Linked DNA regions of Nothobranchius furzeri. The main gene of each other region encodes a partner of the protein of the gene in region 2 in a complex. Links are inferred from orthologs where the notes say so. Each region holds a gene or a part of one and is shown on either strand. Other genes may lie near its edges.

The links.
Region 1: wrap53 (region 2) and gar1 share a complex: the UniProt entries of both Homo sapiens proteins name them as parts of the telomerase holoenzyme complex. The link is inferred for Nothobranchius furzeri from reciprocal best matches to the Homo sapiens genes WRAP53 and GAR1.

The regions. Positions count from the first base shown.
Region 1 is NC_091741.1:77,351,098-77,355,019, forward strand, and holds the start of gar1 (H/ACA ribonucleoprotein complex subunit 1), read left to right. Parts: upstream 1-1,541; 5' UTR 1,542-2,689; coding exon 2,690-2,924; intron 2,925-3,197; coding exon 3,198-3,352; intron 3,353-3,461; coding exon 3,462-3,521; intron 3,522-3,606; coding exon 3,607-3,730; intron 3,731-3,873; coding exon 3,874-3,922. UniProt on the Homo sapiens protein: Required for ribosome biogenesis and telomere maintenance. Part of the H/ACA small nucleolar ribonucleoprotein (H/ACA snoRNP) complex, which catalyzes pseudouridylation of rRNA.
Region 2 is NC_091742.1:83,817,924-83,821,845, forward strand, and holds the start of wrap53 (telomerase Cajal body protein 1), read right to left. Parts: upstream 2,710-3,922; 5' UTR 2,498-2,709; intron 1,975-2,497; exon of another isoform or gene 1,867-1,974; 5' UTR 1,827-1,866; coding exon 1,586-1,826; intron 1,500-1,585; coding exon 1,328-1,499; intron 1-1,327. UniProt on the Homo sapiens protein: RNA chaperone that plays a key role in telomere maintenance and RNA localization to Cajal bodies. Specifically recognizes and binds the Cajal body box (CAB box) present in both small Cajal body RNAs (scaRNAs) and telomerase RNA template component (TERC).

The DNA.
Region 1 (3,922 bases), on a different chromosome or scaffold from region 2:
CTTTACAAGCAAGGCACTCATTCCTACTTGAGACCACTGCAAATGTATAAAAAATATGAGTAAAACTGACCTTAAACAAACTGGTTGAAAAAAAAGAAAAGAAATTGGTTTGGCCCAGGTGGGAATAAAGAGAAAAGGTGTGATAACTAGGGTTGTCACGGTATGAAAATTTAACCTCACGGTTATTGTGACCAAAATTATCACGGTTTTCGGTATTATCGCGGTATTTTTTAAACGGTGTTGCATATGTTCAGAAAGCATTGATAGTCCTGTTCTACACAAACTGAAATAGTTCTGTAAAGGTTTAACAATGTTTATTAAACCTAAAATAACACAAAGCCTTAGCAAAAGTGCAACTTTTCAGAAGTAAAGAACAAATAGCTTATTTTTCTGGAACATGTTACAGTAGTCAGTGCAGGTTTAAATTATACAAATCCAAACATTCGAAACATAAACAATATGTAAACAAATCAAAGAAACACCACTTGTTTTCTCATATACTTGTTTTCTTCATTATCAAAATGAAAATCTAAAACTCCAGTCCACACTTGACTTGAGCACTGTACAAGTCAACCTTAAAAAAATATGTATTTAAAATAAATAGCCACTTTAAACAAATTACTAAAATAACTACTACACTATGTAATCAAATCCAAATGTTCAAGTATAAATGGCATTGAATAAGTAAACAAATCAATGACAAGGAACTAACTGTATATTTCTCTTCATCATCAACAAATAAGATGCTTCATCCAGCAACAGGTGTCCGTGACACGGTTTAAATGCTGGCAGAGGACGCTGCGGCTGCAGTATATAGTGACTCGTTGCATTCTCCCTCAACCAAAAGTCCTCACGTCATGCATTTAAGCTAAAATGCTAATGTTAACTTACCTTGCACTGGCTGTAGAGACGTGGGTGATGGTCACGCAGATGTGCCATTCGATTCGAAGTGTTGCTGCCTTTTGCAGACACTTGTTTCCTGCACGTTCTGCAAACGGGATAGCAGTCTTCTATTAACTGTCCCTCAGCATTTTTCAGAAATCCAAAATATGCCCATACTTCCGATTTAGTCTTCTTTGACGGCTGATGGATGTCCTGGGCGCTGCCGTCTCCTCCTTCGGCCATTATTTCAGCTTCAAAGTTTTGGTGCCGTTGCAAACTAAAAAGTGCGTGTGCGCGCCGCGGGAACTTCAGCTGAAGCGACGGTGGCTGGTAAGGGTCACCGCGCCGAAACCGCGGCCACGGTAAACCCACCGAGATAATATAGTTTTTTAAAAACTGGACGGTTATTTTTATTGTCAACTTTTTTACCGGGGTTTACCGCTATACCGGTTACCGTGACAACCCTAGTGATAACACAAAAGTAAATTTCTAATTTTGATAAGAAAATAACGTTTGAATTAAACACTCAATGTGACTTTTAAACAACAGCGTTGGTCTTAAAGAGCAAGTTACCCCCTACCAGATTCTTACTCAACTCCCACTTCCTGTTTGAAAAATGCAACAAATGCTGTTGCCTAGCAGACCGAGAGGGCGGAGCCGCTAACAAATACACACACACACAGGCTCACAACGACATTGTGACATCGTATGGTACCAGCTAATCAATTCAATTTAAAAATACTTTATTAATCCCAGAGGGAAATTAGAGTTTCAGTACACACAATTCTGAGATCAGACATGCATACATGGACACATGACAAGAATTGGTGACTGTGGTCATTTGCAACCCGAGTCGCGCTATCGTAATAGATCAAGAGGGTTAATATGAGGATAGAGTCAGGGGGAGGGAAAAAAGGCACTTCAGTTACCCTCAACACAGAGGGCAGCTTTGCAATGCAAAAAAAAAAAACCACCTCAGACAGATATGCACAGACTTTAGACATTACACAACACAAGTGTCCACTAGGTGGGGAGGTAGGGTTGGGACTCTCCTCACTTCAGTGCGTGCAGCCACATGGAGCAGCATTCATCACCTCCGCTTGGACAGGAGAGGGAGATAATGGGTTAGAGGGCACATTTGACTCCTAGATACGGTTCCACAACCTTCACCGGTCACAGTCCCGCCCAGGCTGGGATAGGGAGAATGTTTCCATAGCGACGGGCCGGCAGCATTCCACATTTCTTCTGTGAGGGGAGTATTCACTTCAGCCTCACAGGCTCCAAGGGCACCAGATTCAGATAAAAATTGTTTTGGGGACAGACAGATGATTTCCTCTCTTCCTTAGTGTTCTGTTGGTCTTCAACCCCTCTAGATCCAGCATTGGCATAATTAATCTAATGTTCTAGGGTACCTCTTAGCCAATAGAGATTTGGCAGATTTAAGTTCAAATGCAGTGCAGAGTTTTTACCTGACAACGGCACAACACTGACAGTTTTAGGCAGAAAATTAAAATTTTAACTAAAATCCACAAAAGTGCAAAACTATTGACTACACGTGTCTGCAGACCGATTAGATATGCATTTATATAGTTTCTAAAAAAAAAAAGTTGATTTGGGGGTGACTTGCTCTTTAAGCTGAGGATTTTATGTGATCACCAAAAATCCCAGCGACTAGAATTTATTTAATAAAGAATTTGAATTTAGCTGAAGAAATGTGAAAGAAAGTTTAAAAATGACACGACACCAAGGATAGACAAAGCTGACCGTCTTCAGCGTAATCGTTCCACGGTTCTGTTTTACCTTGGTGATGAAAGGCTGTAAAATGACCCACCGTGTGTGTGTTTTCCTGACACCTTCATTTACAGACTTGAGAAGAATGTCTTTCAGAGGAGGAGGCGGGCGGGGAGGTGGGCGAGGTGGTGGGAGAGGGGGAGGTTTTAACCGAGGTGGTGGATTCAGAGGTGGTGGAGGATTCGGACGAGGAGGTGGAAGAGGTGGTTTTAACAGGCAGCAGGACTACGGTCCTCCAGAGTACGTCGTCGGTAAGTAGACTGTTGTTCCTATTTGGCAGATTGAAGCAACATTCACACTGCATGTCTTAACGCTCCATTCCATTTTTGTTTGTGTGGTTGTTGAAATTGTGCCTCAAATGTGACACCAACACTCTTCAGTGTGAACGTAGCCTGTTTTCTTATAAAGCCTGTATCCACGGCTCAACAGACCAGTCAGAAAATGACTGGATTAGACTGCAGTTTGAATTTTAAAGGTATGTTTTTTTGTTTTCTGAAACTCATCGTTGTGTTTCTACTCCACAGCTGTTGGAGAATTCATGCATCCCTGTGAGGATGATATTGTATGCAAGTGTACAACAGAAGAAAGCAAAGTTCCCTATTTCAATGCCCCGGTGTACTTGGAAAACAAAGAGCAGATTGGAAAAGTGGATGAGATATTCGGCCAGCTCAGGGACTTTGTATCCTTTCTTGTGTGTTTTTTTGAGTCATCTGTGTAAAATGATTAAAACACTATTGGTTTTTTTTAAGCTTCCTGATAATTAAATTCCCTAACTAATGTGTGCGCAGTATTTTTCTGTAAAATTGTCTGAAAATTTGAAGGCATCGTCGTTCAAGAAAATGCAGAAGGTAACTGATGAGAACAAGAACGTTTTCAGATACTGAACTCGGATACTTCTGCAGGTTGTGATATTTGTTAAAATTGGGTTTTCAGTTTTACATAGACCCGATGAAGCTACTCCCATTGCAAAGATTCCTGCCTCGGCCCCCAGGAGAGAAAGGCCCGCCAAGAGGAGGAAGGGGAGGCGGCAGAGGTGGAGGAAGAGGCGGTCGTGGAGGTGAGTCATTTCAGATGTTTAGTCCTTTTTGGTCTTTTGCTTTAAAGTTTTTTAGGATGGTTTTTGTTTCTACTAAACCAATTTCCGGTTATTTGAACAGCTTGTAAAAGTGGTGTGATTTTTTTTGTTGTTGTTAATTTCAGGTGGTTTCCGGGGTGGCAGGGGTGGAGGATTTGGAGGTGGGCGTGGTGG
Region 2 (3,922 bases):
AAAATTCTGCTTAAAAACACATTTTTATTAGATTTGCTTAAAAAAATAACATAATTCTGAAATATTTTCTTGAACGACCAATTTAATTATTTCTCTCAGACATTTTGTGAGCTTTTTCCAGTCAAATGTTTTTATCTAACCTTTTGGGGTCTGCTGTAGGGCCCTGCAGCTATCGAATATTTTTGTAATCGAGTACTCTATCGAATATTTTATCGATTAATCGAGTACTCTAATAAATTACCCTTTTGCGTTTGTAAACCATTATATCAAACAGCATGTTATAAAATATGAAAGACCTCTTAAAATGAGCCCGCAATTGCCAGTTATTCTTCAAGTTTTATTCAAATTTAGTTTTCAAAACTTCAGCACTTCAACTGTAAACAAATGAGAGCGGCTGCGGCCCAAACAGAACCAGAACCGCTCACGGCGCATGCGCAAACATGGCTCGCCAGCTGTTTCCCTATTAACACCCGTCCGTTTTAATTTCTACACTTTTTTGTCTCACACAATAACAAGGATTGTCGAAAGCATGTTTGCCGTTGTTATGTCAAATTATACTGTTCACAAAACATTTATTTACTTTCTTTCGTTTTCCTCCGCCACTCATAAATACCCGTGTCCTCCTGCAGCAATCCTGAGGGACAACGGACATCAATAACAACACAATAAAAAGTCCGACGTGTTGTAAAAACTGCTATTTTTAGCACATTTTAAGACCGACGTGTTGCTACCAGACGCACGGTGTGAGCTGAAACTGAGTGCTACAAACGAAAAAGTCACAGTGTCTGCAGAATATATAGAAATACAGGCTAAAATGCATTATCTTGTAGAGGCTCCGAGTCCGCTTGCAGAAGTGACATTTACATGTGGATGTTTCCTGGTCAGGTGCTGCAGCATCGAGGATGTGGTGTTGTGGTAGGCTAAATCCATTTTACAGTTTTTAAACTAGAGTACGTTTTCCGCCTTACGACGTGAAAAATGGTCCCACACCTTTGACATTTTCTGTCTTTTTCGCACTCCACCGGGGTCCACGTTGTTCGCCATGGCTTAAAAGAAAGTTCAGTAGCGTCCGCTACTCGCGTGTGCATTCAGTGCAGTATGTATGTGCGTCACTTATTTCGGTCTGGGTGAAACATGACCCCGGGCGATTGCAAAGCCATGAATTAATTAAACATGAATGAAACGAAGCCTCGAGGCAGAGAATTTGACTCGAGGATTTTTGTACTCCAATTATTCGAGGTACTCGAGGAATCGTTTCAGCCCTAGTCTGCTGTATCGTTACCCTCGCTTTAAGAAAACAGAAAAATAAAACATTATTTGAACTCACTGCTGTCCTGCAGCAGGGCTGCCTACAGATTCATTCTCGTTGAGCGCCTCCTCCTCTTCTGGTTTTGTCTCAGTTTCCTCTGCATCATCAGGAGCTTTGGCTCCATTCAGATGACCTGCTGCCACGTCTTCCTCAGCCCCCTCTTCCTCCTCACACCTTTGTTCTATTGTTGCTTTAAACAGAACAGAAGAAACTATATAAATGATATATGTAAGTTTCAACTCTAATGTGTATAACTTCATATGAACAGGACTTTACTTTGTGCAGATGCAGCAGGGTTTTCTAACACACCACCTTGTGATGGGACCGCATCTTGTCCCAGCTCCTCCTCACTCCTCCTGGACCGTTTGGCAGAAGGTGGGAACCCCTCCTCTGAAGTCTCTCCGACTTCTACAGACTCACAACGTCTCAGTGAGGCCTGTGGAGGGGGCTCGCTGTCTGCTTCAGAGTCTGCACCCGCCAGGCCTCCACCCTCCCCACCTCCGGCTGAGTCAGACATGGCTGTGTCTCTGTCCTCCTCTGTCTGGTGTCTTTTTGTCCTGCTGGGAGAGTGCTGTCAGACGTGGGTGAGGTAGGTGCTACTAGGATAGTGCTTCTTCCTGCAGTGTGGACGATTGAGTCTGTCGGGGTTTGATGACATCACCCACCTGAGATAAACAGGTAACAGGATTGTGATTCCAGACCAGATTCTAGAAAACTGACCATTTCAAAATAAGAGCGTGAGAAAGGCTATTTTTTATACAATTATTTTAACTTTAAAAGACCAGCTAACATTTTAGAAACGTAATCTGTTACTATAGCAAAATGCATGGAAAGGTCGGGTTGAACGTATGTGAAGTTTGTGACGACTACAACTACTTAAATTTTAAGTTTTAACTTTTATACAAAGTTTCATCATTAGTGCACCTTAATTATAATAATTATAAAATTAAAGAGGCATAAACACGGATGTTCCAACACCTGTAGCTACTTTAACGAGCCTTCGTGTTCATTTTTAGCAAACCCGACAACTTGTTACAACAGCCGTCGTCTATTTAACTTCAAGTCCACAACATTCATGTAAATAAAGTAAAAACACCTTTGAGTCACGTTTTGGACCACTAACAGAGACCGCTACACTGTGTTTGCTCAGGTTAGCATTGACCGAGCTAACGGGTTGTTGCTACCTACCTGCGTTGTGCTTCGCCTGAGCGTTGATGCTTCGCTGTTTTCCACTCAGCGGTTTTTAATTTTAGACGAAAACAAATTCTACAAAACTAGACGAGGTCTCAGAGGTAGATAACTTAGTTGTCAGTTCAGCAGCTCATTGCGAGAAGTTGTAAACACCGTAGGCGGCCATGTGTCCTAAAGTATCGCGAGACTTCCGTTTTAGAACGTTGCTAGAGCAGGTTACATAATTAGTGGACTTCCTAAAGGAGAATGAATCATGTTTAGACTATATTCGCTTAAGAAAACGCTCAATTTAGTTGTTTTACGGATGTTAGGAACACCTAATGTGAATGTGATACGTTTTAATAAACTAAATGACATTCAAAAAATAAAATAAACAAGACAAAAAATCTGACTTTTTCCTCTAACATTTTTTTTCATACATTTTGATATGCAAATATTTCGCAAGAATTAAATCTTTAAATAAACAGTTCTGACAGATAAATGTGGTTTATTTAGTATTTATTTTGTTCTTCAAACATGAGTCAAACTATTTACACAGCTCTGTTGTTCTTCTCTGAAACAGTTTCATCAAATATAAAGTATGCTGTTATATCCAACAACAATTACAGACTTGTTAGAGAGGAGCTGAGCTGACCGGAGTAAAATTATCATCAAACCATTCTGCAAATTCATATCCACCCGTGCACCAATCAGTGAGTTGTGTTTGAACCAGAAACTAGTGAACGTGATAATAAAAGCCTTTGTAGTGCAGTAAAATAGAAAAGCAGACTGAGCAATGATTAAGCTCACATATTCAGCTTAAAAACAGGGGTTTGTAGGCAAATTAGACTTTATTGCATAGTTAAAAGCTTGTCCAAGATTTGTTTATAATCTCAAAGTGTCGCGGCGTACCAAAGTCTTGCTGGGATGAGTTTGACCTCCATGGGCATTTATTAGAAGGTTAATAGGTGGTAGAAACAGCCAATTGTGTGGCTATAAATGTCACAAAAACCTAATACGTGACCAAAAAACCCTTTTTTTAAAATGTAATTTGACAAACATAGTTCAGGCTTACACAATGGACTGGTTAACTCCTATTCAGTGCTATTGAAGATGTTCACCACCCAATTAATCTGTCAAAATTCATGTGATTAATATATAAAGCTTGTCCTTATAGGACAATATATGCATCTCTTACCAAATCTTCTGGAGTGTTAAACAAAAAGGAAACTTATTTACCCCAACTGCCTTTTTAACTAGGATCCTAATTAGACACCAATTTGCCCCGATCAGCTCAGCTCCACTGCACAGACTCCAGCTCTTTTTGAGCCTGCACCATCAAAAATCACCTAAATCTGAACAAATTCACTCTCCATTTTAGTGAAAACAAAAGCCTACCACCAGCAAAAAGATTTAAAAAAAAAAGAAAGTCAACACTTCCTG